Arabidopsis thaliana: one gene and its partners. The protein of the gene in region 4 interacts with the protein of the main gene of each other region in a pairwise test. Each region holds a gene or a part of one and is shown on either strand. Other genes may lie near its edges.

The links.
Region 1: the proteins of AT3G22440 (region 4) and AT1G01440 interact in a two-hybrid assay, tested with the Arabidopsis thaliana proteins (one large-scale study listed by BioGRID).
Region 2: the proteins of AT3G22440 (region 4) and AT1G20880 interact in a two-hybrid assay, tested with the Arabidopsis thaliana proteins (one large-scale study listed by BioGRID).
Region 3: the proteins of AT3G22440 (region 4) and AT4G32190 interact in a two-hybrid assay, tested with the Arabidopsis thaliana proteins (one large-scale study listed by BioGRID).

What each region holds. Positions count from the first base shown.
Region 1 is NC_003070.9:157,479-165,464, reverse strand, and holds AT1G01440 (hypothetical protein (DUF3133)), read left to right. Parts: upstream 1-2,511; 5' UTR 2,512-2,978; intron 2,979-3,184; 5' UTR 3,185-3,245; coding exon 3,246-4,897; intron 4,898-4,986; coding exon 4,987-5,047; intron 5,048-5,162; coding exon 5,163-5,386; intron 5,387-5,472; coding exon 5,473-5,530; 3' UTR 5,531-5,837; downstream 5,838-7,986. Other genes in the region: AT1G01450 (Protein kinase superfamily protein), read left to right, coding at 1-1,360; TBL25 (TRICHOME BIREFRINGENCE-LIKE 25), read left to right, coding at 6,929-7,211, 7,353-7,636, 7,709-7,986.
Region 2 is NC_003070.9:7,259,886-7,267,762, forward strand, and holds AT1G20880 (RNA-binding (RRM/RBD/RNP motifs) family protein), read right to left. Parts: upstream 5,671-7,877; 5' UTR 4,950-5,670; coding exon 4,743-4,949; intron 4,400-4,742; coding exon 4,255-4,399; intron 4,113-4,254; coding exon 3,986-4,112; intron 3,443-3,985; coding exon 3,400-3,442; intron 3,297-3,399; coding exon 2,994-3,296; 3' UTR 2,989-2,993; exon of another isoform or gene 2,934-2,988; intron 2,896-2,933; 3' UTR 2,789-2,895; intron 2,708-2,788; 3' UTR 2,124-2,707; downstream 1-2,123. Other genes in the region: AT1G20870 (HSP20-like chaperones superfamily protein), read right to left, coding at 1-890; AT1G20875 (uncharacterized protein), read left to right, coding at 1,596-1,796; AT1G20890 (caveolin-1 protein), read right to left, coding at 6,203-6,345, 6,457-6,547, 6,628-6,759, 6,852-6,990, 7,087-7,175.
Region 3 is NC_003075.7:15,542,456-15,549,877, forward strand, and holds AT4G32190 (Myosin heavy chain-related protein), read left to right. Parts: upstream 1-2,344; 5' UTR 2,345-2,596; coding exon 2,597-2,659; intron 2,660-2,945; coding exon 2,946-5,234; 3' UTR 5,235-5,402; downstream 5,403-7,422. Other genes in the region: PANK2 (pantothenate kinase 2), read right to left, coding at 77-193, 448-500, 620-835, 1,005-1,260; ASY2 (DNA-binding HORMA family protein), read left to right, coding at 6,385-6,429, 6,613-6,709, 6,780-6,941, 7,036-7,171, 7,291-7,422. UniProt on the Arabidopsis thaliana protein: Required for the initiation of starch granules biosynthesis in leaf chloroplasts. Involved in determining starch granule number and size in chloroplasts.
Region 4 is NC_003074.8:7,956,934-7,964,041, forward strand, and holds AT3G22440 (FRIGIDA-like protein), read left to right. Parts: upstream 1-2,819; 5' UTR 2,820-2,920; coding exon 2,921-3,833; intron 3,834-4,167; coding exon 4,168-4,343; intron 4,344-4,443; coding exon 4,444-4,953; 3' UTR 4,954-5,438; downstream 5,439-7,108. Other genes in the region: AT3G22430 (RNA recognition motif XS domain protein), read left to right, coding at 317-672; AT3G22436 (uncharacterized protein), read right to left, coding at 965-1,087; AT3G22450 (Ribosomal L18p/L5e family protein), read left to right, coding at 5,510-6,445.

The DNA of each region.
Region 1 (7,986 bases), on a different chromosome or scaffold from region 4:
ATTTCCTTCTTCTCTTCTGGATAACACAAAAGATTACCAAGTGAAAAAAAGATTAGGGAATGGAAGTCAGTACAAGGAGATTACCTGGTTAGGCGAGAGCTTTGCGCTTAGGCATTTCTTTGGGGATATTGATGCTTTGCTTCCTCAGATTACTCCATTGCTATCTCTTTCACACCCAAACATTGTATATTACCTCTGCGGATTCACGGATGAGGAGAAGAAAGAGTGTTTCTTGGTCATGGAACTGATGAGGAAAACCCTTGGAATGCACATCAAAGAGGTATGTGGTCCTAGGAAGAAGAACACTCTCTCCCTCCCGGTCGCGGTTGATCTGATGCTTCAGATAGCTTTGGGTATGGAATATCTTCACTCGAAGAGAATATACCACGGAGAGTTGAATCCATCAAACATTCTTGTCAAACCAAGAAGTAACCAATCCGGAGATGGGTATCTGCTTGGGAAGATTTTTGGGTTCGGGTTGAATTCTGTCAAGGGATTCTCTAGTAAAAGTGCTTCTTTGACGAGTCAGAATGAGAATTTTCCATTCATATGGTATTCTCCAGAAGTTCTAGAGGAGCAAGAACAGAGTGGAACTGCAGGAAGCCTTAAGTATAGTGATAAATCTGACGTGTATAGCTTTGGGATGGTTAGCTTTGAGCTTCTGACAGGTAAAGTACCATTTGAAGATAGCCACCTGCAAGGAGATAAGATGAGTAGAAACATTAGGGCCGGGGAGAGACCGCTTTTTCCATTTAATTCACCAAAGTTCATAACAAACCTGACAAAACGATGCTGGCATGCTGATCCCAATCAGCGTCCAACTTTCTCATCGATAAGCAGAATTCTCCGGTATATCAAACGGTTTCTAGCTTTGAACCCGGAATGTTACAGTAGTAGCCAACAAGACCCGTCCATTGCGCCTACTGTGGATTACTGCGAGATCGAGACAAAGCTATTGCAGAAGCTTTCTTGGGAATCTACAGAGCTAACCAAAGTTTCACAGGTTCCTTTTCAAATGTTTGCATATAGGGTTGTGGAACGGGCAAAAACGTGTGAAAAGGATAATCTCCGGGAACCATCGGAATCAGGAAGTGAATGGGCTTCGTGTAGCGAGGATGAGGGTGGGGCAGGATCAGATGAGCAGTTGTCATATGCCAAGGAAAGAAGATTGTCATGCTCCTCAAATGATGTTGGTATGAGCAAGAAGCAGGTTTCAAATCTTCTGAAAAGAGCTTCTAGCCTGAAACCAATTCAAAAACCAGGTGAGATTATCATCAGCCAATATATATATATATATATAGGCTCCCTAACAAATATGAACTTGGTTACTTGTACTAATTTTTTTGTTTTGTGTCACTAGCCTTTGGATTCTGTTCAGGGACAACTCCGAGAGGACGATCAAGGCATCCGCCACTAAGCCCTTGTGGTGGGCAAAGCATGAGAGCAAACTCTGAGAGTCAGCTGATATTGATAAGCCCAAGGATACGACGATCAAACTCTGGACATGCCTCTGACTCTGAGCTTTCCTAGTCTGCAGGGAAAAAGAATAGGTTCATAATAGCAAGTTCAAAATGCTGTACAAGTCAAAAGACATACTAACTCGTATGTGGTGACACACACTCCACTACATATCTATCGAAAACGATAAAATTCTTCTTTATTCAAAGTTTCCTACAGATACTACTAGGCTCGTATATTGTTCAGGCTAGTGACTGATTGATTCAGTAGCTACTAGCTACAATATTATCTTAAAGGAAACAAATCATATGAGGCAAAATTATGTGCCTAGACTGTAGAGGCTCAACGCTGAAGTGAAGTAAACTAGGCCTGCTCCACTATTTCTACAATCTATCAAACACCATCAAATTACACTAATCAAATTTTGGGCTTCGAATGTGGATAAAAACATCAAAAATAAGGAACCTTGACTAATCTGCCTGAAAATTACCTTAACAAAAAAGGGGAACAGCGATTCCGCCGGGGACTAGAGACATGGCGTGGTTCGGAGCTTTGGCTCTGTCTCTCGTCAATTTCAATATCTCCGCCACCGCCGACTCCGTCACATCCATCCTCCGACGCTTTTATTATGTCATTGATTGTGATATGACCAAAAAGTCCCCACTCTAGTTTTAGATGAATGAAGCTATGATTTCTTTTTTTTTTTTGGTGATAAGTACGTTATTATGATTTTAATACCAACAGATTTGTCAAATATAACATTATAAGCAAGTGGAGTAAACAAACTAAGCAGCTGATTTGTACAAAAAATACTTTACAGCTATAACATTTGTCATTGTCACCCTAATATAAAATACAATTCCAACAACTAAAATACATCTCTAAACTTTTTAAAGATGATGATGATGAAAAGAATTCAAGTTATGAGCACGTCTGGGAACATGGCACACCATCTATTTTGACAAGATAATATTATACAATACATGTATAAAATACGTACACATTCATCGTTATAAACTAAACCCACCATGGCCATGATGAATAGTGTGTGTAGTTCAAGGTATTGTTGGTTTTGGAGCAGCGAGACACAAATATATCAAAGACCTAATTTGGTACTTTAACTTTCACCTTTCAAATGCAGTTAAATTCGAATCGATCCAACCAATTCATTAGTTACTACTATTTTTATTTTGTTGCATTATTTTTGGTCGTCACGTTATCTCTTGGTCAACTTGACCTGGTAAGACTCATAGTTTCTAGATATGTCAAAATTCTTAAACTCCATTGTCGATCTAATTGTTCCTAGTTGGTAGATTCCCGGGAAAACGAAGCAAGAAAAGTAGAGCTATTGTTCGAAGTCTTTTGATTATTTAAATAAATTCCTCTGAAATTTTCACAAAACTCCTTTAATATTAAAAAATGGCTGCGTCAAAGAGACTAAAAGCTTGATTCTCACCGGAGACGAAGAAATTGCCCAAAAAATATTCATAATACTGACGCCGGAATCACTCTTCTTCGAGGTGCGTTTGATTTTCCTATATCTCTCTGTCTTGTCTTTCCCGTTTTGGATGCTGTGCAATCATGGAAACTCTTGAACTAGTCTCTAGGAAAATTTTAAGATTTGCTCTACCATGTTACTATTCGCGGATTGGAGAAGATTCGATTAGAGAATTTGTTGATAATTTCGGATTTTGTTTGAATTCAAGGATTATTATTTCTGTTGCAGTTTAAACAAGCAAAACCCTAGAAGCTGGTCTTCGTCGGAGAATTTTTGTTTTTTTTTTCCGATGAGGACAAGCGGTGACGTTTATGGAGCAGATACTGGTTCCTCAAGAAGTGATGAAGACAGAGGCTTTAAGGAGGATCTCAATGAATCCGCTACTAGCCCGATGAGAAATCGCCTAGACGATTCGAATTCACGACCTGGTTCTCAGAGATTCGTCAAGAGCTCGAGAAAGGAGGAAGAGACTGATTCAGATTCTTCTTCTTCTAAGAACACAACCACCAGAAACAACCCAATTCAGTACACTGATAAACAACAAGCCGAGCTTTTGAGAAAGCTTGATTCTATTAAAGATCATCTTCTCCGTGGTGGAGGTAATAATGCTACTGTTGTTGATCAGCCACCAATGGGTTTCCATGCCCATCATGGACCTCCTCCTTCTTATTACAATCCATACCCTGAGCCATTTCCTTATGGAATGTATCCTACCGCGAGTAACCAACCTCATGTTCCAGCTTATAGAGACCCTTATGGATTCCCAGTGCATAGGATACCTCAAAACTTTTATCAAGGACCAAGTCATTACCCTAATCAGATGCCGCCTCGTCCACCCTATCCTCAAGGACAGTATGTAGACATTGGCTCTGATATACTTGAGTCACAGTTACAGGACCCTAGATTCTTTCCGGGTACGCCAAGTAGGTATGGTGATGTCCCATTTAGCCCGGCTTTGCACCACGGTGAGAAAGTTGGACCCTTTAGTCCACATGGTGGTGTTCACACGAGGTGGCCTAGTGAAATTGATTCTGAAATGGGTGGTGCTTTTGCTCGTGGGTATGTTCAACAAGCTGTGTCTGATACTGATTCACGTCGTTGCCATCCTCTAGCAGGCGGTGCGCCTTTTATTGCTTGTCACAGTTGCTTTGAGCTGCTATATGTGCCTAAGAAGAAGCTTCTTGGTCAGGAAAGGCAACAAAAGATGCAATGTGGTGCTTGTTCTGAGGTTATCACGTTCAGAGTTGTTGATAAGAAGCTTGTTTTCTCATCTTCTGCCCTGGGGGAAACTACGAACCGGGTTTCTGTAGAGGTTGAAGATAGAAGCTCACCAATCCCTGTGGTAGATGATTATCCACTCAATGATGAAGAACCAAGAATACACCAGGAAACGAAAATTGTCCATGCTGTATCGCCTAGTGATCACTCAAACGATGAAGACAGGTCAAGCATTTCTAGTGAGCCGCGGAAACAGGTCGTCAAGTCTGTTCGCAGCAGAGCCCAAGGCGCGAAGGTTCCTCCTCCTCCTCCTCCGGAAAAGTCCAATCTTCTTGAGCTCTTTGAGTATTCTAATGTAAACCGAGCTGCAATCACTTACGGAATGGCGCAGTTAGGGTACTATAAGCAAGAATCATACACGAAACAAGACTCCCTGAAATCAGAATCAGTAGCTACTGAGACAGATGTTTCTTATAATGAGTACTATACTAACACCGAGGAGTCTGAAGATTCAAGGATCTCAAAAGCCAGCAAAGAAGGGAGACGACCAAGAAACCGAAAGCAGAGTAGTGAGCACAGTTTCGCAGAGGTCACAAATAATATCAGTTCTAACGACCAAAACAACGAGCAGCTAGAGGTTTGGGTGAATGGGTATCTGATACCAGAAGATCTGGTTATTAGCGCTGAGAAACAAGCTGGGCCAGTTCAAGCTGGCAAATACTGGTATGTTTGGGGTTACGTTTTGATAAATCTACGTCAAAAGAATTGATCAGTCGTTCAAGAAACCATCTTTATGTTATGATTCTGACCAGGTATGATTACCGTGCTGGATTCTGGGGAGTGATGGGAAACCCTTGTCTCGGTATAATACCAGTAAGAACTTTCACATCTCTTCTATATTGCTTTGAATTCCAGTACACTGTTTCATAATTCTTTGTATTGATTGGTACTTGATGAGGAAATGGGAAACAATTGTTGGTTGATGCAGCCATTTATAGAGGAGTTTAGTCGACCAATGCCGGATAACTGCGGTGCAGGAAACACGAGTGTGTTTGTAAACGGAAGAGAGCTTCACGAGAGAGACCTAGAGTTACTATCAAGTAGAGGTCTTCCTCGAGGCAAGAACCGTTCTTACATCATTGATATAGCAGGAAGAGTTCTTGATGGAGACTCTGGTGAAGAACTTAAGAGTCTTGGCAGATTAGCTCCAACGTAAGCACAACACAATTCCATGTAATCAAATTTTTACATCAATCATTTAGTTGATTCTGAAATTTTATGGTTGAAAATTGAATCAGGGTTGACAAGGTGAAGCATGGATTTGGCATGAGGGTTCCAAGATCATTAGTCTCGTGAAGCTTCGTCAGCTTTGTTTTGACCTCTCTGATTTGTAAATTATTCTTTGTGATTGATATATAACACATCTTTGCTTATATTCTGACCCAAAACTTATTTGCTATTCTGTTTTTGGGTTTAGTTTCTTTTTTGGGGGTTCTCTTACAATGTTCCATTCTTTCTCTTACTTTTTTTTTTTTTGTCTAAGAGATAAACCGTATGGTTTTATATCTTGTGATCTGGTTTATGTAAATTGATCATTTTTTATTGTGGATAACCTGTTGCCTGTTGGGAAATAAAATAATATTTGTTTGATTTTGTGACAAAAGATAAATGTATATATTTATAGATCTGTCCAGGCTGTGTGTACTTGTTAAATCGTTTTCAAGAAAGAAAACACACTGGTATGGTAGATCCAAAATCAACTTCAAGTAAGATGGGTCCACGTAGCAAATATTTAAAGCCCATGGAATAATTTATTCACAATGGGCCTCGTGGTCGTGGTGTACCCTACTCCATATAAAAAAACAGAGTCGATAATCTAGTCTGTCTAAAACGACTAATTCATGTCTAAAGATTAGTTTATGTTTTAAATCACCGAGAACTAATTCTACCGTCTAGATAGAACGATTTTTTTTTTTTCTCTAGATAGAACGTTTAAAACAAAATTAGCATGAAAATTACCACGGTTATCAGAAGACAAAATATATTTTTTCGTCTAATTAGATGTGTAAAGCATAAACTAGATACTAATTTATATACTCACAAGTAGTTTTAGTTACAAGTTTCAACCATTAAATCTAAGTGCGAGGTCTCTGTCTTTAGTTGAAAAAAGAGAGAGAGAACAAGTCTCTATCTTTGCTCCTGATAAGTGATAATTAATCAATAAATACTGTAGGACCATCCTTATCGAGTTTCGTTTGATAGACACTACAAATACAAACTAATCACCTAATTTCCATAAATGTAGAGATTACTGTAATCCTGTCTACGTTGGAAATAATTAATGGTACCATGTCACCCGTAATAGCAATGGCTTAATCATGTTTAAAGAGACAACAAGTACACGATTCGCGCTTTACAGTTGTATAATTGTAACTTTAAAAACAATTATGGATGCCTAATCATTAGATTATTTTCTTCTTCTGAATATCTCTCCACAAATTAAATGAAGCCACGACCGACATAAACAAAGTGGAAACAATTACAGTAATTCAAACACATGCAAACAAAAAAACTCGAGTTAATTATTACTAACATGTTTTAGTACTTCTGAGAAAAAAAGAAAAAAACAGGATCCGCTGTGTCTTTTTTATAATGATGAAGTTCCTCGCTTTCAACGCCAACCAAAAACCTCCAGAAAGCTAATTAGGGAAACATTTGAAAAAACTCAGTGATCTGCTCTTCTCTCTAATTGCAATGGATTCATTGAGATTAATATCTAAGAGCATCAAGATTGAAGGAACCCCATTTGGTTCCTCTCACCAACGCAATCAAATTTTCCTCAAATCCGTCGCTTTCTTCCTTTTGATCGGTCTCGCTTACCGTTTTCTCATCACTAATTCCACCGTCTCTCCGGTTCCCACCGTTCGATCCTCGCCGGAATCTCTCCCGCCGGATCCTTCAGGTCTCACTGCCATCACTCAAACTTCAGCCTCTGTCGATTCCCCAGCAAACATCACAACCATTGCTTCACAGAATGGTAAGAGATCATCTTTTTCCGATCATCACTACTTTAGTCTCAAATTCAATAGAGTAAGACCCAAGCAACGTGAGGAAATTGGGTTTTGAGAAGAAATTCTTATTTTGGATTTGTGCTCACCAAGTGTTTGAACAATTGTAGTTTCAACCAAGTGTGATATCTTTATCGGGAATTGGGTACCAGACCCATCAGGGCCAATCTACACCAATGTCTCTTGCCGTCATATCCAAGATTACCAAAATTGCTTGAAAAACGGAAGGCCAGATGTGAATTACCTTCGATGGAGATGGCAACCTCGCGATTGCGATCTCCCGAGGTTTAACCCTGAGCAATTCCTTGACAATATGAGGAACAAATGGTTGGCTTTTATCGGTGATTCCATCTCTCGTAACCATGTCCAATCCCTCCTCTGCATTCTCTCTCAGGTACAACAACAGTTTCTCTAATTTCATTTCTCTGTATAGCAGCAGCCTTAAATCTACTTGCCCTTGTTTTAGGTAGAAGAAGTAGAAGATATCTTCCATGACAAGGAATACAAATCAAGGATCTGGAGATTCCCTTCTTACAACTTCACACTCTCTGTCATTTGGTCTCCTTTCCTTGTAAAAGCTGAAACCTTTGAGAACGGAGTTCCTTTCTCAGACATTCGAGTACACCTCGACAAGCTAGACCAGAAATGGACTGATCAGTACATCAATTTCGACTACGTTGTCATCTCCGGTGGAAAATGGTTCCTCAAAACAACAATCTTCCATGAAAACAACACCGTAACCGG
Region 2 (7,877 bases), on a different chromosome or scaffold from region 4:
TATGTCTCACGAAATCTTTCAGGGGTTTTACTCGTTCCACTAACAGCATGACCAGTAACTGCTTCTTCTTCCTTGTTCTTTCGCTTGCATGTTTCTGGAAGCTTTACAAATGAATAGTAGTCTTGGTCAGAGACAATTCCACTGAATGCAGATTCTCCGTTTCTTGAACAGTCCTGCTTCATTCCCTGGCTTTCTGGTATGTCTCCCGAAAGTCTTTCTGGTTCACTGATTACGCAACTAGCAACCGCGTCTTCCCCTTCCTTTCTCTTGCACGTTTCTTGAAGCTCACCAGATGAATTGTAGTCCTCGTTAGTGACAACTCCATTAGCTGTCGCATCACCATTTCTTGAACAGTCCTGCTCAGTTTCCCGGCTTTCATCCAGATTAACCCGAGGAGATAAAGACGTGACTCTATCGATTTTCAGGTCGTCCAAACGCGACAAGCATCTGAACCTTTGGAGTTCTTCCTTGTTTATGAACCCTACTGCAGGATCATCAATAACAACAATTCCTTTCACAATCTCGTGGCTCGGGGAATACCTTTTCTGCGGGTGAAGATTCGTCGGGAAAAAATGCGTGAACTGAGGAAACTTTCCACTTGGTTCCAATGGTAGATATCCCTTGAGATACATATAAATCATGTCTGGATGAAGAAGGAGGCTGGACTTGGCGTTTCTGAGTACATTATAGTACAAGTTCTGTAGCTGGGAAACAGTTAGAGAGGAAGATCCAATGTGCATCAAAGTGTAAGGTGGCAAACCTCTAGCTAATCTTTGAGAAGATGAACATCTTGGGTTATCAGAATAGACATCAGGACCCAAGTAGTTGCTCATGATGAAATTAACCAAGAAATACTGATCACTCGATAATCCGTCGCTATACAGACTCATATCTTCGATATCAATGAACCTGCATTACATATGAAAGTGGCAACATTGTCACAAATGGAAGCAATAAGGACATTCCAAAAACATAGTTACAGGACATAATTAAGTGTCTCAAATTTGCCAATTTAGTCATAGCATTGAAAATCTCCATCATTTTAGTCCCTAGATCTCTTAAGTTTAACCCTTTTCTAACAATGACTTTAGTCTCCATAATGTTTTGCCTTATCATTACTAAGGAGAAAACATCTTCAAATTAAACCCTAAAAACTTCACTTATTAACAGCAAAATCTACATTTGAAAAGACTATGTTGATATTTTGAGAAAGATTAGTAACTCTGCTTCATATATACTCTTCACAATACAAAAAAAAAAAAAAAACCAATTTTTACCCAGAAAATATCGCAATCCAACAATTTTTCACTAGTTAGCTCAAAGTCAACAATTTTCCTTAAATCTAAAGGTTACTACGCTTGAATACGAACCAGTTTGTACTTTTTACAGCAAAAATCGATCCCACATTGTTCCCACCACAGAAGATAAATAGGGATTATGCAATTTCAACCTTACAAGTCCAGCGATTGTGAAAATTCAAGCAACATTCATGGAGAAAAAACGAGAAGAAATTCGAAGCTTAAGCATGACAGAAAATTCTCAGTGGCAGATTTTACCTTTTTTAATTTCGTCGTGATGTTTTTGGGTTGAGGAGGATGATGGAGGTGAAGAGAAGAGAGATTTCTCTGCGAGAAAGAAATGTTTGGTGTAAGGAGAAAAATGCAAAAGAGGATGGGGGTCCTTTGCTTGCTACACGTGGCTACCACGTGGGTCCCGCAAATAACCGCATTTGGAGGTATCACTTGTCACCTGGCTCACCACGTGCCGTCTTGTTGAAGCACTTTTGGGCCTTTTAAAAAGTATAAGGCCCAAATGTTTTGTATGTCTTATTCTCATTGATAAAGCTTATTCTTTTAAACGAGAGGAAGTTGTAGGAAAATGGGAACATTAATCTTGTTTGTGCTGACTAAACTATCTCTAAATCAGTTTTCTCGGACATCAAAACATCATTACTATGCCACTACCTCATTATGTAATCCTTTTAATTATGTGTTGATCAATTTTTACTTTGATGGATCAAAGAAGGAAACGTAATTACATCCACCCCCAAAAATTGGACTCTTTAAAAATGGTTTAAATGACGATGAATTTAACTAAAAACTCGAATCTATCATCTTGAAAGCAAGTGGTAAACGAAGTGATAAATGGAGTATAAACAGAGGAATCAGAGTAGAAGATAGGAGTCATAGACAGAAACAATTGAGAAGAACAATTTATCAGTCTAGAAACTGTACAGACATAGAAAAGAGAAGAATCCTGGAGCTAAAATTTATGCACAGACAAAGAAGCTGAAGTGAGCTCCATAGTCATTAATTTTTTACTTACAATGCAGAGGACTTGACTCAAGAGGACGTGAGAATCTACCTAGTAATATTACCAACACTCATATGCCTTAAGAGAGTGTGTAGTAAGAAGACTACTTTTACCACCCAAAAGAATCAGATGTTGATTCCACCATTCTATATGCATTTATGTATGTGTTTATATATATATGAACTTTCTTTGTACACCAAACTTATTCCTACCAGTTTACCGCGAAAACCCTTGTTTCCGGGGTGAAACTATTCATATAGTTTATGCCATCAAGCTTGTTGTGGGCTATATACATAGGATGAGAGGGTTAAAGATAACAGAAGCACAAACCCTGAAACTTCCATTCTCCTTTCCCCCTTTTTTGACTTCTTCAGTGAGCAAGACTACTTAATACCTGTAACGACGGTAATGAGGTGAGATCGAAAACATTTGCAAGTACTGAAACTTAAAAGGGCACCTAAGGAAACAAGCTTACCTCTAGAATGCGAAAATAAATAATGTGCTAAGCTTAAACAGGAAGCCTGCCAGAGTAGCATTTGTCCTGGACTTCTTCCCTTTTCTGCAATCTTTAAGGATTACTAACTGAAAACCGATAAATAACAATGAGGTCGTGTAAGTGTGTACGAACTTCAATCCAATTTGGACCATCAAAAAAGAATCCAAGAATTTGCTTACGTTGATCACCCTGTTGTCTGATCAGAACCGCTACTCTGTATATACTGAGGAGGAGTCTGGACGATGACACGTTGGTGCGTTGGAGCTGAAGGAGAAGGGTATGGAGATTGAATAGCAGACATAGGTGAAGTGGCACCAAGCTGTAGAACATGACTTCCTGGATGTGAATAACCTTGACCCGCTGTATAACCGTGAGCACCAGGAATAGTATGGCTCAGTTGCCCATATTGATAACCCGGTGAGTTAACTGCCCCAGGTACTCCATAAACCTGAAGGTACTGTTGACCCATGTAAGGACCATAGAAACCCTACAACACCATGAAGAGAAGACATGAGTTTATAACTAAAGCCACAACAGTTTAAAATGCATAAAGAAGGTAAGAAGGAACTGCAATAATTTCAAGCGCCTACCTGAGACTGTGAGTACATGTAGTCAGGTCCATATGGTGTAACCCTGAGAGAACCCCAAAAAGCACAGCTAATATTAGAGACAGGTGAGTAAAGTTTTGGCTAAACACTCTTTAAGAAAAGAAGAGTAACACTTATACAAAACAGCTAGAATATGTTATGCTACGAAAGAAAGATGCTAAGCTAGGGGGGAAAAACCTAAGTCCACTCCAAAATGTCCATTCCAAAAATCTAGGTAATTTTGCCCTATCAAAGTCCAAAAACATTCATGACCTTGCCTGTCCAAAACAAATTGAGCTCGGCCACATATCCTCTGCAATTATATTTTTGTATTCCTGCAAGTTACCAATCACAACATGTCACATGATAGTGCTACACTCAAGAACCCTAAGTGGCAGAAGATACAACCCCTAACGCAATAGAATCTCTAGATGATTGTCCATGATGTGATTGGTAAATGCCACTTGATCAAAGTGACTGAAGGACTAGCATGTAGAACATTAGAACTGATACACTCATCAAAGCTTGTCTGTTATAGCAGATTTACAATAGCAACGAAATGTTCTGAGCTTCAAATTGCATAACTCACCCATAAGGGTACACCACTCCTTGTTGGTAGTTATAAGTAGGGGGTTGGTGATACGGATGGCTTCCAAAATGCAAACCGCGAGGACTCTGCACACTTCCAACATATGGGGAAGGAGGTCTTACCCGTCCTAACCAAATAAAAGAAGCAATGCAGTGATTCAAGGTTAACACGGTCATAATCCTTGAAAAATTGAATACTTCACCAAAATTATAAAGGTCTCTGTATGTAATGCGAAGAAAAGAATAGATGAATACTGAAGTAAGACTGACCAGGAGCATGGGGTATCACTGCATATTGCATTGGAGGCCTAGATCTCCCAAGAGAAGCGAGATTACAATTCGCTCGTCTGCCATCTATAATAGGTGTTGGATCGACACAGGCTCTCCTAGCAGCCTCTGGATCTCGGAAAGTCACCTAAATCCTCCATACAAATCATAAACATAGCGGTAAGTCATTCTACAATCATGAACATAAACCAACAGATACATCAGAACAAACAAATGAAAGAGACTCCTCTAATTAGCAAAGATAGACAAAAGTTTCATCAAAACACGTATTTTCGAATTCAACTTCTTTGAGTTTATTCAAAGAACTAGAAATCATAAGTCAAGCAGATCATTCACCAATCTAAAGCAACATTTAGTACCCAATAATCTATAAGCATACCATGGAAGCAGAGAATGTTTATTACAAGCAGTATAATAAACCAACTTCAGATATTAGAAACCAAAGCATGAACAAAAAGTAGGATACTCACAAAGCCATAACCTTTGGATCGACCAGTGTTCTTATCAGTAATAACGACAGCCTCAAGGATATCACCATATTGATCGAAATGCCGACGAAGAGTCTCGCTTTGAGTCTCCCAGGCAAGGCCACCAACAAAGACTTTAGTAAAGGTTGTGTCACCAAAAGGAGAATTCAAGTAATGAAACCCAGAGCTCGGAATCGAATGATACGCCATGGATTAGAACCAAAGACGGAAACTTTGATGAAGTATGGATAGAGACAGATCCTAAGACTTGACCCGGTAAACCCTAGAGATAGATTGAATGATTAAACCTGAAGATGAAGAAACAGAACATATAAATTTGAAAAGAGGAGATTCTAGGGTTTACAAGGGCCTTCGAAGAGAAGAGGGTGAGAAACAGAAAAAGTGAGATCGGCCCCAAAGAAACCTAATAAAGGATCATACTTGACAAGTAATGATCATGACGAGAGAAACAAAAAATAGAGAGAGAGAGAGAAAATTTCCCGGGAAAAAAACAGAAAAATGAAAAGAAGTTAGGGGAAAAGGGGTTTAAAACTTTGAAAGATGTGCCACGGAAGAAGAGAAGACTCGGTTCCGGTAGGTACACAAGAATGATTCTAGGGTTGCTCAATTGGTAGAACAACAGAAAACGAGAGAGACGAATTCGAATCAAGCGTTGGGGAAAATGGGGAGGAGAGAAAGAGGGATGATTTTGAGTGGTTTTAGGGATTTAGATAGAAAAATACAAGGGGACAAGGAAGGATTTGTTTATGGAAGTTTTAACATTCATGATGATGGTGAAGAAGTTGGTGATGACGAAGACGATGATGCGTGATTATGATTCATAAATTCTTCGAGAGAGAGAGAAAACAAAAGGAGTTGTTCTTCACCCTGGGTCCCACTCGAAATCATCTAGTAATTATGATTAACGCTGTAATTAATTAGAACACAAATTGTGGTTTTGTCCGAATCCTAGTTTGGTTCTTTTATTATCACAGTTGGTTGGAGTTATTTTAGCGGATTACTGCCGGGAAATTAACGGTTATTTCATACATTATATGAACAAAAAAAAATTCATTTATTTATTAAAAATATGTGTAACCTCTTTGCTTTTAATTAATTACTCCCTATTCCCAAAAGATAATACGGTGTACTTTAGAGTTATTCATCTTGTGGAATGTTGTTTGTTGGATTGAAATTCAAACGGATAAGCGTTACTTAACTATATACGATCAAACCATACAAGTTCAGAATAGGACTTCCCGCGTCTGAAAAACATGAAATCAATCTAACACATGTAGACTTATATACTCTTCTTTGAGTGCGGTGTGGTAAGGTAAGGTATATGAATGAGGCAGTGGACATGTAAGAACTAAAAACCATACAAAATTAGATGAACAAACATCAAAATGCGAACAGAGTAACAAAACAAAGAGGTGAGGAAACTGTATTAACCATGCTTCTTCTTAACGATCACGATCTACATCTTTGATCAGAAGATAAGATGGGAGGAACCGGGGAAGAATCAACGCGACAACGAGACACAAAACTACTAAAACCACCACTGACCAGCTTGAGTGAGGGATGCCTAAGAGCTGTTCTTCACAAACTGTCAACATGAGAGTTTTCAGACTCTAGAAGAAGCACTACACTTAATACAAGTTCTTATGTTGTGAAAAGAAGAAGATTGATGAGATAGTAAGTAGAAAAAAAAGCTTGCCTATGTTGTAAATGATGGACGGTCTTTCTTTAACATTTGGTATAGCCACGATTCCTTCAGGTTCCACCGTCACCAAAACATACAATCCCTCCTAAATCAGAAACAAACTCCTAAACTTGTATTCGTTCTTCTTTCTAAGTTTTAGGAACTAACTGAAGAAGATGGCAATACCTTGTTATCAACTTCTTCAATACTTTCTGTTTTGAAGATCAACTTCTCAGTGTTTAGTAATCTCCTCATATGGTTAACCTTCAAACCCATTACACCGTTCTTCAGTAATTGCAGCGAAAATAGAGCCGGTATCTGTTATCATAACAAAAAAGGATGAGATTTTTAACAAGCACAAGAACCTTGGAAACATAAGAACATAGAACAAGATAACAAATTTGACATACAGAAGCTGGGTATGATATCTTGACTTCATACCAAGAGTTCGACTTAAGCCCTTGTAATTTGTAAACTCGAGATCCAGATTTCAATGGCAGTGTCTCTTTCCAAAGTTCCTTCCCAGCATATAAAGTTTTTCCACCAAACCTAAGAGAAACCTGATAACATCATTTCTACAGTACCAATAAAAGAATCCAAATTGATGAGTTTGGGGATAATGTGAGGTTTTTCAACAACACTTACAGTCTCTCATCGCTATAACAAGTCACAAAATTTATGAAGACGATAAGACAGATGAGCAAGTAGCATTCTTTATAGCGTAAATCGATCATCCTACGAGTTCTGTATCAATCCCTAAAGAAGAAAACGATTTTTGTCAATTTGATGAATCGGTTAAAGTATCAGCTTCATGTTAAGCAATCTCTGCAATATTTTCTCTCAGCAACGGAATACGAAAATACCAGAAGTTATAAAACGCGCGAAATCGAATTGACTTACCAGAGATCAGTCTCTCGCCGGAGATGACAGTTTCTATGCGACAATTGGATCGGCGAATACGATTCCGGCGACTTCGGAGAAAGACTCAAAATCGTTGTCGACGATCGCTAGCGTGAGACTTGGGCCTTTGATTAATAATGTACTGATATATTGATTGGGCTAATTTGAGGCCCAATTTAATATACTTGGCTTGTAGACAAAGTGAAAATATAAGCGGATCATGACCCGTCCACGTCACTCTTGCGAAAATCAGGACATAAACTGTACACGTGGTCAGATCTCCACGTCGAGATATCTACGTGGCGAGTTCTAAGGATATTTTGTCCTGTCTTTTTGTGGGGTCCATTTATGGGCCCAAAGGCCTTCGACACTAACTCAGAAAGTCCAAAATAGTAAGGTAAACATGTGGGCTCCTTTATAAACCAAATTGGCAATTTGCCCATGTTGCTTCCTTCCTACTAAATAGTTAAATTCTATTCAATATATCACCTTTATTTTTGGTTTTTAGATTATTATACGTCAATAAAATCACCTTT
Region 3 (7,422 bases), on a different chromosome or scaffold from region 4:
AAGTGCTAGTAATAAAAGGTACAAATATGTATGCAGAGACAACATAAATGGAATGTTGCATAAAGAAAGGTCTTACCTTGAGCAAAAAATTTGCTCCAGAAACAAGACAATGCATTTCATCTTCTTTCTCAATACTAACGCCCAGCCGTTCCTTGAACAAGTCTGCAAATTTAAATGCCCCGCCACCTGTGACCTGAAAGATACACGTACGCTTGACTCATATGTTTAAAACAAGTAATAATCAACTAATCAAAGCCGAATCAGCAAATCACATTACATGGATATACAAGACTTATAAATATAAAAAACGTTTCACCTAAAAACAATAATTATGAGGGTCTTAAATGTTATCTGGTATCTCAAATGAAAGAGCGAGCTAAATATATGCAGAAGGAGCCTCAAAAGGTGATAAAGATAAAAACAATCAAGTCATAAAAATGCGATTACCTTGATAACACCAGTCCCCAAAGGCAAGGTCTTTGAACTCCAAGGATAAGGATCTATTCATTTAGTTGAAAAGAAATGGAGAAGAAGACGAATTGAAGAGTAAATCACCAGAAATTGATCTTATAATACAAAACAACATTTCATACACTGAAAAGGATAAAAGTAATAATACCTCGGCGATGAAGCTGCTTGGAATGAATAAAATCCAAGCACTCATTAATTTTGTGAGTCTCAAACTTGACAAAATGAAGTCTACCACCAAGAACAGGATAACTTCTCAAGTTGCCATTGGTAATACCCAATCTCTCCTTGATCGTCCTCTTCCGCTTATCATCATCATTAGAGTAGTCCTCATGTCGTGAAAAATACAACAACTTTATCAAAGAACCTGCAAATAAACTTAAAAGGGTTCATAATTCTCAAACATAGCACTTAAGAAATAAACATCGAAATTGCCAAAACCAAGAAGTGACACCAAATACTACTGGAAGAACCACAAGCACTAGATCAATGGTCAACTACAGTGAAAATAAAAAAGAAGTGAAATTTGTTGTCACCTCCGATATCAAGAGCCAAATGAGAGATATCATCAGACTGATTAGGCAATAAAATGGTGGGATCTCTCTCCTCGAGGTTCCCCTGAATTTCGGCTTTGCTTAGATCAAGCTGAGGTCTAGAGCCTGATCTGTGGATCGGAGTACCAGAAGTAGAAGGAGCCATATTTTTATCAGCAGCAACAGAAACCTGAGATTTTGCTTCAGCTTCTCTTTTATTGTCAAGAATTGGATCATACTCATCCTCTTGACCCGCCATTTTTTTTTTTTATTAAAAAATAAAAAAGGAACCCAACCAAACCCAGAAAAATCGGATCACCAACAATTGCCTAATTCTCCCAAACCACCACAAAACCCTTCCTTGCAAAGTTTAAAAAGTCAAACGACACGAACTGATGATGATAAGACTTTCCAGGGTAAAGAAGTAAACTGTTCGAGCTTTTGCTAATACGATTATACGACTAAGCTTAGAATCGCTTAAGCAGGCTGAAGCGGACCTAACTCCAAACAAAATTTGTATTTATATATAATTGTTTGTTAACTAATTAACTACCACATAAATTTCCCAAAAAAAAAAAAAAACTACCACACAAATTTGTAGTTTTTAATGAATTTGTAAGTGGATTAGGTTTGGTGTTTCACAATAATGACCAAACTCGAACTCCACTTGCCACTTATGAGTTTTTCCAAGTCATAGATGAGGATTACTGTGTTGGTTTCGATATCTTAATTAATCCGTCACACTTAATTCTTTATGTTTTACGATTTTTTGAAGTTTAAGATTTTGCTAACATTACACTATTCACGATAAATCACTTTTTCAGATTTAAGATATTTTTCGCCGGAATTTAGAAGGTAGGATATCCTTTAAAATGCTTTTGTGAAGATGGATTATATTATACAATTGGACTATTTGGTGTAGATAAAATCTTATGTGGGAAACAAATATTTTAGGAACACTAAACCAAAAATACCATTGTTACATTTTTTAATGATAAAAAAGTTCACTTGCAAATGTAACAAGATACAACCTCGTTGGGTTGATATGTTAAGAAAACTAGCTGATGGATTGGTTTTTCATTGGGTCTATTGGGCCAATGTCATGGGCCTGATGACTTTTATTCAGTTTCTTAAATTTATATTCCAGTTTAATATAACATACTCTTTAGTGTGTAAGCATTTCTAACCACGCGACTAGCCGACTACGCGAAAGAAAGAGAATTGTCATACTAGAAAACCGTTACCACGTACGTAATTAAGAAGAGTCCATTATTTTTACAAATAGATCCCTTGGCCGTGTATTTGGACAATGCCGACATGCATCTTATGAATAAGGGCAAAAAGGACTTTCGAGTTTACTGGCGACCACAACTCGCAAGCCAACGCGAGCCTCTATTTATTATTTTGTATCCTTTTTTTTGGTAAAAGAATTTTGTAACAATATCCATTCCCTAGCTAGATTCTTCTTCTTCTTCCTTGGATTTGTTCTCGTAAGCATTCTTCTCCAAAACGCCCACTTGTTAAATTTGATCCAGTGGATTTGGGTTTTGTTCCGTCTTTAAGCTCCATGGCGATTGCATAATTATGCTCTCAGGATGGGTTTCTCTCAGGCCATTCGCTTGAATCTTGCTTCCTTCTCCTCTCCCTCTCCCTGCGATGTTTGTTTCCTTACCTTTCTCTATATTATCCCCTATATTTTCATTTATATATCGCTGCTGATTCACAACACTTTACTTACTCTTAACTTTATCAAACTTGAATTTTTGACTTTTGCTGGCCTTGTTCTGATTGTTCCTTGTTCTGGCTTAAAAAGATTGCAAATTTCAATACTGTTCCTTTAATTTGAATAAGTTTGCTTGCATCCATATTGATTAGTGTCTGTCCAAAATAATCAAACTTTTGATTTTGATTTTGATGTCGGCCATATGATTTTTTCTTATGCAGTATTGTTTGACAAGAGTAGTAAACCATAAGCAGAAGAGTCTTGTCGCATTCCCGAGCATTACAAGGAGAAAGAGACATCTTTTACTGAGTGTTCAATCAGTCTTGCACAATACAAGACCCAACATCAACGACAATGGCTCAGCTGAGTCTGCAAATGTTCTTTTCGATAAATTATTTGCTCGGACACACAGATTGGAGAGACAAACCAATCAACACTCGGTTTATCCTGACGATGATGATCTCCCCTATTCAAACCTTGGCGTGCTTGAGTCTGACCTTGAGGCTGCGCTAGTGGCCTTGTTGAAAAGGGAAGAGGACCTGCACGATGCTGAGAGGAAGCTTCTCTCTGACAAAAATAAACTTAACCGGGCAAAGGAGGAGTTAGAAAAACGTGAGAAAACAATCTCTGAAGCTTCGTTGAAGCATGAGAGTCTACAAGAGGAGCTGAAGCGGGCAAATGTGGAGTTAGCTTCTCAAGCCAGGGAGATAGAAGAGTTAAAGCATAAGCTAAGGGAAAGAGACGAGGAACGTGCTGCTTTGCAATCGTCCTTGACTTTGAAAGAGGAAGAGCTAGAGAAGATGCGTCAAGAGATTGCAAACAGAAGCAAGGAGGTTTCTATGGCTATTTCTGAATTTGAAAGCAAGTCACAACTCTTAAGCAAAGCCAACGAAGTTGTCAAGAGACAAGAAGGTGAAATATATGCACTTCAGAGAGCTCTTGAGGAGAAGGAAGAAGAATTAGAGATTTCTAAGGCTACGAAGAAACTTGAACAAGAAAAGCTTAGAGAAACAGAAGCCAACTTGAAGAAACAGACAGAAGAGTGGCTGATAGCCCAGGATGAAGTGAATAAGCTTAAAGAGGAAACCGTGAAACGTTTAGGAGAAGCCAATGAAACCATGGAGGACTTCATGAAAGTGAAAAAGCTTCTGACTGATGTAAGATTCGAGCTTATTTCTTCTCGGGAAGCTTTGGTATTTTCCAGGGAGCAAATGGAAGAAAAAGAGCTACTATTGGAAAAACAATTGGAGGAACTCGAGGAACAGAGGAAAAGTGTGTTGTCATATATGCAAAGCTTGAGGGATGCGCACACTGAAGTTGAAAGTGAGAGAGTAAAGCTCAGAGTTGTTGAGGCTAAAAATTTTGCGCTTGAGCGGGAAATATCGGTCCAAAAAGAATTGCTGGAGGATTTACGAGAGGAGTTGCAGAAAGAGAAACCATTGTTGGAGCTAGCTATGCATGATATATCCGTTATTCAAGATGAGCTTTACAAAAAAGCTAATGCGTTTCAGGTATCACAAAATCTACTTCAGGAGAAAGAGTCAAGTTTGGTGGAGGCCAAACTAGAGATTCAGCATCTGAAGTCCGAACAGGCTTCTCTAGAACTATTACTGCAAGAAAAGGATGAAGAACTCGCTGAAGCTCGAAATAAATTGGGAGAAGTGAACCAGGAGGTAACAGAGCTAAAGGCACTTATGATCAGTAGAGAAGATCAGCTTATGGAGGCAACTGAGATGCTGAAGGAGAAAGATGTCCACCTTCACAGAATAGAAGGTGAGTTGGGCAGTTCCAAGCTGAAAGTCACTGAAGCTGAAATGGTGGTGGAAAGAATTGCAGAATTGACGAACAGACTGCTTATGTCAACCACCAACGGTCAAAATCAGAATGCAATGAGGATTAACAATGAGATAAGCATTGACTCAATGCAGCAACCACTAGAGAAACCTCATGATGATTACGGAATGGAGAACAAACGGCTGGTGATGGAGTTAAGCTTCACCAGAGAAAATCTACGGATGAAAGAAATGGAAGTTCTAGCGGTGCAGAGGGCTTTGACATTTAAAGACGAAGAGATCAACGTGGTCATGGGAAGATTAGAAGCCAAGGAGCAGGAACTCAAGAAATTGAAAGAAGAAACGATCAATGACAGTGAAGATTTGAAAGTGCTATATGCCTTGGCACAAGAGAGAGTCGGGGAAAAAACAATGGGTGATCTGGCCATAGAGATGCTTCAGCTTGAGGCAGCTAACCTTGAAGTTGAAGCTGCGACCAGTGCATTACAGAAGCTTGCAAAAATGAGCACGGAACTGTTAACTCAAGCTGACATGAGCATTGAGGCCGACACAACTCACACTGTAATGCCAGAGAGAGGGTATTCAGAAGGAAGTAATGAGTGTCTTGGTGAGGTAAAAACAGAAGTTGTCAGGCTCTGGTCCTTGACAGAGAAACTCCTGGAGAACGCAGGAATCGTTGCTGGTACATCTACATGCATGGAAGGTGTAATTTTATAAAGCTTTGATTAACTTTATAAGCCTAATCTGTATGATTCTTTTGTGGATATGTAGAATTACTGGCGGTTAAATATGTTTACTTGTCACTGTGAGCAAGTCTATTGGAGAGTCTTAATCAAGAACTCTTTGCATTTTATAATAATAAATATTAAATAATTTAAAGTTTAGAGTTTTTATTGAATCTTTACAATTTTTTATTGTCCAATGGTGGTGGAGACTTTAAGAGGATTTCTTCAAAAAAAATAAAGATTTTAAAATAAAATATTATAAAGTTTTTTATTTGACAAAACTTAATAATTATTAGAAATAATAAAATTGTAAACATGCATCATGACATAAAAGCAAAAAAATATATAGAAATGAAAATTTGAAAAAGGATAATATTTAAGCTTGATTCGGACCAAAATTTTGCCATATATATACTCTGATACTCAATCAAATCATATTTCAATCGTTCATGCTAAGTACAAAAGTCGGGTTTTGATACTTAATAATTACTACAAATATTAAAATTGTATACATACATCATGATATAAAAGCAAAAAGAAAATATACAAATCAAAAAACTTAAATAACGACTAGATTTAAGCATTATTAAAACAATGCATAATCCTTTTTTTATATAGTTTTTTCTCAGCCAGTCACAAAGCAACACAACTAAAGTCTTTAACAAATGTTAAAACTCTAAGCTTAGGATCAATCCTTAGCCTAATATCTTGTTTTCATTTATTTTTATTACATTGGAGGTGGTCTAAGTGATCTCAAAACTAAGTGATTTTTAATGATTTGTATTTGTTTATTACGTAGATAAAATTCAGCCGAGAGTGGCTGCCACCACAAGGTTCTTGCCAAGGGTAATCTCTCGTTTAGGTGTCGTTGATAGAAAAAGGTTTGCGACGTACCCTGGGACTTATGCCTACAACAGCATGTATACACAGATAGTAGGCCGTTAGAGTGTAACTGATAGGATCACCCCTACTAGCATCGCCAAATACCAACCTTGCCCCTAAATTTCCTTCTCTATTTTTTTGAGTAACTTTTTTATAAATTTTCAAACTCGCTCCCGCTTCTGAGTCTTTTTCCGTACGAAAGAGAGAGAGATACGTCTATGCGATTCTAGGGTTTTTCCGGCGAAATTTCTCAGCCAAAGATGGTGGTGGTAAGCAAGAACAACGAGCAGCAATCGCTCATTTTGGTAAGTCACCTCTTCTAGCTCCAATTTCTCGTTCCTTGCTGGTGATTTTCGCAGCTGGATTTAGTTTGCGTGTGTAGCGTCCTGCGTCTAGAGATGGATTTTCGTCTTTCGATTCTCAATCACGCCGATACATATATTTTTGGCTCTGACTTGTTTGTTTTGTTCTTCGTTGTGTTGAAATAGACTACGGAATTGCTCCGTACTGCCATCTTCAATATCAGTTACATCAGAGGCCTCTTTCCCGTGCGGTATTTCAAGGATATGTCGGTTCCTGCTTTAGGTGAGACACTAACCATGGAAGTTTCTACAACTGTTTAATGGGAACCTGACGCTTTTGAATCACAATATAGATCTGAAGATGAAGAAGCTAATGCCTATGGACGCTGAATCACGCCGATTGATTGGCTGGATGGAGAAAGGGGTCTACGATGCCCTGCATAAGAAACACCTGAAAAAGCTGATATTCTACATATGTGAAACAGTAGATGGTCCCTTGATTGAGGAATACATATGTAAGTTCTTGGGAGATGATTGGTTAGTTCAATACTAGTGTAGTTCGCTGGTAAAATGGTCCGATTAATTGATACTCTCACTATGTTACTGCAGTTTCTTTCAGCTATTCAGATTCTGACAGTCAAGATGTCCGGATGAATATCAATATTACTGGAATCAATACCTATGGGGGAACTCTTAACTCCACTGCTGACAACTCCACTGCTGACATGACCCTAAATCAAATGAGGTGAAATTTTTTATCCTATTGTGAGGTCTAGATTGTTTTATCTTGCATAACCTGCTTAAAATTATTTCATGATTGTAGTGACAACACGAGTTCAGCTTGCAAAATGGTTCATACCCTAGTTCAGTTGATGAAGACTTTGGACAGAATGCCCGAAGAAGTAATGCATTTGTTACCTATCAGAGGTTTTCAGTTTACATCAGTTTCCATATTGCCAATTACAGACTTTGTTACTTTTTTGCTTCTGTCCAGCG
Region 4 (7,108 bases):
AAATTTAAAATTGCTATGACTTAGCATAGAATAATTTATAACTCTGGTTTGAGCTCTGATTTCAATACCTTACAATATCAGAATCTAGGCAACAGTGGTGGTCTAAGAAGTATATAAGCTTCTTTAACATAACTTTGTTGGGCCACCATCTTCTCTGGTCTTTTCTCTAGGAATCTCAGCTTCTATTTTTAGAACTTGTGGTTAGGCTAATGATGGGTGTGCAAGTACATGTATCTAGTTATTAGCCTATATCGTGTAACAACACTCAATGACACATTTTGTCTGCCTTCATTTTGATTTCTATATATAATTACAGAACTAGGACTCACTGGTGGGAAATCGAAGTCGTTGTATGGAAGAGAGGGTCATTTGGGAATTACCCTGTTCAAGTTTGCTGGAGACGATTCAGGGCTCAGGGATGCTATGAGAATGGCAGAATATTTTGAGAAGATAAACCGTGGGCGTAAGAGTTGGGGGAGGGTACAGCCACTCACTCCAAGCAAAGATGATGAGAAAAACCCTGGTCTTGTCGAGGTTGATGGGAGGACGGGAGAGAAAAAGAGGATCTTTTATGGTTATCTCGCGACTGTAACGGACTTGGACAAAGTCGATGTGGAGACAAAGAAGAAAACCACAATCGAGAGCCTTAGAGAACTCACAAGAACAAAGTAAATTACAGTTTTCTTCTCCCACGAAAGGTACACTTAACTTTCGAGGTATTTGTTGCCTATTGAATCTGGATTCTTAGTCGCAACCTAAAAAACTCGAAAGGAGGAACGAAAGTTTTTTTTTTTTTTTTTTTAATTTATAGATGAAGTCTTGGTCTCTTTGATCCTTCGATTCAGTGTTCATATTGCATAGTCTAATATCGGTTGAACCTGATATATACAAGTTCTCTTTACCAACATCCTTAGAAGTATATTGTGATAGTTGCTTGATGCTTTTGATGTCCCTGTTGATTCTCCTACGTTCGTTTCTTCTTTCCTTGTTCTATCTCATCCTTTCGAATAGTGGTTCCTGCTTGTTCTTTAGGCTTTAGCCAGCCTATGGAAATGAGAATATTGAACCAACCAAACAATGTTGCCATAGTGCCATTGTATTGATGATGTCTATGACATTGAGTTATTGTTTTTGTTTGCACTCTGGTAGTAGCTTTATGTATTTGGTCACCTTAGATTGGTGACAACAATGGTGGTGTTTAGTTTAAGCTAGCTATCTTCTTTGAATAAAAAAAAATAAAAAAAAAATTATAAATTGGTATGAAAACAAAAATAAACATTAGATAAGAGGACTTGTATTTTGTGGGGGCTTTTGGTAACCACTATATAAATTTTGTTTTGTCTTTGTTTATAACTCTTTAATTGACAAGTTAGGTATAAAGTGTTTTGACGATTTTTTCCCCTCTACTTTCTTGTGTTCTGATAAACTTTATTACATGTCTTCATTCAAATCTTTGGTTCGCTCTGGCTTACCAATTTACACGTTTTGTTAAAGGAAGTTTGATCAGCTTCGGTTTAGGCCGTGTGATTAAGAATTTAAGATAAACCTTAACACTTATGAAAGTAATCAAGCACTATCCGGTAGTGAAAGTTAATATAACATATAGGATTATAGTTTGGCCAATATCATAACAACTAGGATATAATTTTATGAATGTACAATATGCAGGACAAAGTACTTTGTATCTTTTGATAGAGTTACATGCACTATAAGAGAATTAAACATATTAGAAAAAAGACTAGATTATGTAAAATGTCATAATCATATTACTATAAGACTAGCTAGACTGAGGTCAAATCAATGCATAAATTTAAATCATTATCTCTTTTGAATTCGATTATCTCCCTCACATTTTTCAAATTTCTCTACTCACTTTTTCTATAAAGCGGAAACAGTAATCGGCGGTTCATATGTAGTCGGCCATTACGGACCCATTTAATTAGATAAATTATTCTTAGCCGTCAGTTTCATATTTCGTCTCATTCTAATTTTGTAATGTTTCTCTAACCTTTTTGTAACTATAAAATCATACTCTAATAGCAAGAGGTCTAAAAGAGTAATGGATATTTCCCCTCAATAATGTGTTATATGTCACTGTCCCGTTTTAACATTTTGTACATATCAACAGAAAAAAGTTTTTATGATATATCCATTCCACTGATGTCAAAAAAGCAATAGCTTTAATAAAACCAAATTCAAAATTTCGTTTTTATTCTATTCTTCTGTTTTGATATCACAAAGATATTAAAAACATAGTACGAAGATTAGTTTTATATGTGTACTAATGAATCTTCTTTGTGGTTGCTTCATTATCACGTTTTAACATTTGTCACGCGTGCCCTGATTTCATTACAGCCTTTTCTACAAAACACATGCATTGTTCTTCTTCTTACATTACTACATTACACTACACAAAGAATTTCATATTAATTATAACAACATTTTTTTTTTTTTGCTATACTATATAGTTTTTTGTTATTCAATTGGTATTTTACCGGCAATGCTTCACTGGTTTCCGACTCAACGCATGTGGTGGTCAGTGGGCTTGGCCCACTTATCTCTTTCACCTTTTTTTTTCTTTATACGAAAAATTAAAGCAAAGCTATAGTAATAGTACTTATTATTATTACCACGTCATCACCCAACTCTCTTATACTACGCATATCACGCTAAGCTACGCGTCGACGGCGCAATATAGAAGAATATGTAATAATCGCGCCTTTAATCAGACTCCACTGAGACGTGTCGCTATTTCGAGTTGTCCACGTCACTGTTTCTTTTGTCTCTTATCTTCTTCTTCGTCTCTTTACTTTTTTCCCATTTCTAGGGTTTCTTCAATTTCACTCTCTCTCTTGAGTTTATTCTTCTCTGCTGTATCAATCAAATCAACGGAGTTTGAGTTTCTTTTCCGATTCCGGCGATGGGGTCAGTCCCCGATCCAGGCGAGTTAACTGAGTTAGCTCAGCCGAGTTTCGAGGAGTTTCAGAAACAGACGTCGTTGATGACTAGCTGTACTCTTCTATGGCAAGAGCTCTCCGATCACTTCACTTCTCTAGAGCAGAATCTGATGAAGAAATCTGAAGCGTTGAAGCAGATGATTGAAACTCTAGATAACCAGACTCAGACCTCGCTCGAGTCTCTGAAGCGTAGAGAGGTAACAATCGACCATAGCGTTGAGATCGTAGCTGGGAAAGTAGGTGAACGAGCTAGAGCTGCTCTTGAATCGTTAGAGAAAGCTAGAGATGGTTGTGGTGATGGTTCTAATGATGATTCCGGTGATGTTGACGATGAAGAAGGTCTTCTTTCTGCTTTGAAATCTCTTTGTCTTAAAATGGATGCGAGAGGTTTTTGGAACTTTGTGACGGCGAGGAAGAAGGAGTTGGAGAATCTCCGGTCAAAGATTCCGGCGGCGTTGGTTGATTGTGTAGATCCGGCGATGTTAGTGCTTGAAGCGATATCTGAGGTTTTTCCGGTGGATACAAGAGGAGATAAAGTTAGCAATGATTATGGATGGGCTTGTGTTGTGATTCTTGAGAGTTTAACACCTGTAATTGTTGATCCAGTGATTGGGAAATCGAGGTTGCTTGTTACTCCGAGTGTTAAGGAGAAAGCTAAGGAGATTGCTGAGACGTGGAAGAAGAGTTTGGAAGAGAGAGGAAGGATAGAGAATGTGAAGACTCCTGATGTTCATACGTTTTTGCAGCATCTTGTTACATTTGGAATTGTTAAAAGTGAAGATCTTGCTTTGTATAGAAAGCTTGTTGTTGGATCTGCGTGGCGTAAACAGATGCCTAAGCTTGCGGTTTCTGTTGGTTTGGGTGATCAAATGCCTGGTAATCCTCTTAAGCTCTTATCTTCTACCTATTAGTTTTTTATCCTGGCATGCTCATTGTAACTTGTGAGATCATATATGGTTTTGAAATTGGCTAGTTTACTAATAGTTTAACCCATCTAGATGTATAGTTTTGGTAGGTTACAAATAGTTTACGAGTTGATTAGTCGAATATTAAGTTTGTGTGGCAAACATTGTATGGCATAGATTGTGGTGAAGTCTGAGACATTAGTGGTACAAGGTGTTATTGACCACAGACTGTGTGAAGTTGAAGCCTTTTTCTCTGTATCTCGTTTTATAATATCTGAACTTACAAGTTGTTGCGCTGTCCACAGACATGATTGAAGAATTAATCAGCAGGGGACAACAGCTTGATGCTGTTCATTTTACTTATGAAGTTGGGCTTGTGGATAAGTTCCCTCCTGTTCCTTTGCTCAAAGCTTATCTAAGGGACGCAAAGAAGTCAGCAGCTTCTATCATGGAGGACTCTAGCAATACTGGCCGAGCTACGGTATCTACTCATTGCATCTACTCATTTCTATCGCAGCTAAATATTTTTATCTGTGCGTCCCTGAAAGTTAATATCTTCCTTGTTATGTTTTCTTCCTAAGCATCTCGTGGCGCGCAAGGAGCAATCAGCACTTAAGGCGGTTTTAAAATGCATAGAAGAGTACAAACTCGAGGAAGAGTTCCCTCCAGAGAACCTCAAGAAACGGTTGGATCAGCTAGAGAAGACCAAAACCGAGAAGAGAAAGCCAGCAGCTGTTCCTGCCAACAAAAGAACCCGAGCCAGCTACAACGGTCCAATGCCACCAGCCAAAGCCGGGCGTATCACAAACGCATACGTCTCTTCCTTCCCGTTCATCAGATCACCCTCTCACTCTCCTCAATACGCTTCACCAGCAGCTTACCCATCCCCACCTACAACAGTCTACAGCAACAGAAGCCCACCTTATCCATACTCTCCGGAGATCATCCCAGGCTCATACCAAGGCTCTCCTATCGGTTACCCAGCGTACAACGGTTATTGTAATGGTCCAGTTCCTGCTCCAGCTCCTCCAGTTTACCACCCACACCATCATCAACACCACCAATTCCACCATCAGCAACATTACTACTGAATTAGAAGACAGTGTGACAACAAAACAAGGAAGAAGATTGGTAATAACCAACAAATCACTGATACTGTGACAACTGCTACTACTCTGGTGTTCTCTCTCTCTGGGTCTATTGTCTTCCTACGTCGTCGTTTTTGTCTGTAATATCTCTTTCTCAGCCTAACTCTCTTAGTAACTTAGCTTATATCCTCTGGTGTGTTTATTATTAATCGCATATAAAACAAAACTCAAGCTTTTGTAATGTCTAATATTCAGTCAACAAACTTATATTTCTGTACTCTGTTAATCGAATGACAAACTTCTCTTCGTCACCAACTATCTCCGATCAAATCTAACATCGGAGGTCGTTGCTTTGAAGACATACCCACCAGTTCTCTGTTGAATTGCATTTCTTCTTCATTGAGCAAAGTGGTGATTCAATTTCGGTACAAGACACAAAGCCAGTGGTGAGAAATTTCTCTTTACCAACCTTGCACACCAGATGTTCGACGATATGTCTCTTTGAAATCTTACCGTTTAGTTTTCACGTGCGTTTTCAGAATTGGTCTCTTTTCCTTCAATGGCTTTGATGGTTTTGAGAAGAAAGTGTCTCCGTTTGCCAGATTTTATCTCCGTTTTTCGACCTGCACCGCGTTGCTTCTCCTCGAGATTTTCCAACAGTGAAAGTGGTAAAGTTACAGTGACTGGTTTGAGTGGTTGTGGTATAGAAACTGTGGATGATGATGTTTGGCATGTTTCATCATCTTTATCCCAAGCTTGGAGACAGTTCCAAGCAGACACTGCAAAAAACTCTCCCGTTACAATACAAGGAGTAAGAGAAACAATACTCGATGATGAAGATCCCGATCACGATGAAATCGATAACATGAGAATTCGCGGTGATCTTTTCTTCAAGCTCGATCGAGGTTCAAAAGAATTCGAGGAATACAACTATGACTTCCACCGCAAGAATCAACACAAGAACGCTAAAAAGGAGCAAAACCAAGAAGAAGAAACAAAGATAAAGAAGGATAACAAGAAGGAAGTTCGTGACGAATACAAGAAGAGAAATGACTCTTTCACAGGTGAGACGGATCATCCTAATGAAGCTGTGAAGAAGAGAGAAAGAACATTTACGTTTAACCAACTCACGGCGCCATTTCACTACCCGTTTTGCTTAGACATATACATCTCGAAAGAGTCTGTACGAGCATGTGTGATTCACAGGGTGACTAGTAAGGTTGTAACTGTGGCTCATTCGATTTCAAAAGACATGAAATTCGATCTTGGTTCGAGAAGAAACGTTGCAGCTTGCGCTGCGGTTGGGGCAGTTCTTGCTCAAAGAAGTTTGGAAGATGACATACATGATGTTATATACACTCCTAGGAAAGGAGATAAAATTGAAGGTAAGCTTCAGGTCGTGCTTCAAGCTCTTATTGACAATGGTGTTAATGTTAAAGTGAAGCTTAAGCAGAGGAAACTTAAGAAGAAGACTAGTCATCTAATGATGGCCTAGAGGACTGAAATTTTCTAGTTTGTAATATGGGCCCAGAAGATATGTTTCTGTGTGGGGCCCAAAAAATGTTATCCGTTTCATTTCTACGTTTCTTGTCGGGTCAAAGTGTTGACTTTCTAACAATGATATCATCGTTTTCTTATACGTAACTTCTCTGCTCTTCCATAGCCGATCGACCTTTGTTCACAATTCCCACCGATTTTTATTTGCTAGATCGATATATTTTCAGGTATGATGATATATATATCATGGTTTGTTTATTCATCTGGAAAGTTTTTGATGCATCATGATCAGGACAAAGTTGGCGTGAAATGAAAAGTTTTAAATAAGTTTTTTTTTTTTGTTGTTGTTGTAAACCTATAATCAGATGATGAGATGATCCTATATTAATCGAATATTTTGATTAATTATACATGATATTTAACAATTGCATTCATCTTTTTTCTTTTGTGAAATCTAAGCAGTGAGCTTGAAACATGGCTTCAGTGGCTCCTAAAATCGCTAAAGATGTAACTGAAGTAAGTAACCTCCAAGATTATGTCTTTCTTCAACTATGTCTTGTCAGTAAATGTTTTTTTTTTAATTGATATTTTTTATTATTTGGGAGCAGCTAATAGGGAACACTCCATTAGTGTATCTAAACAAAGTAGCTAAAGATTGTGT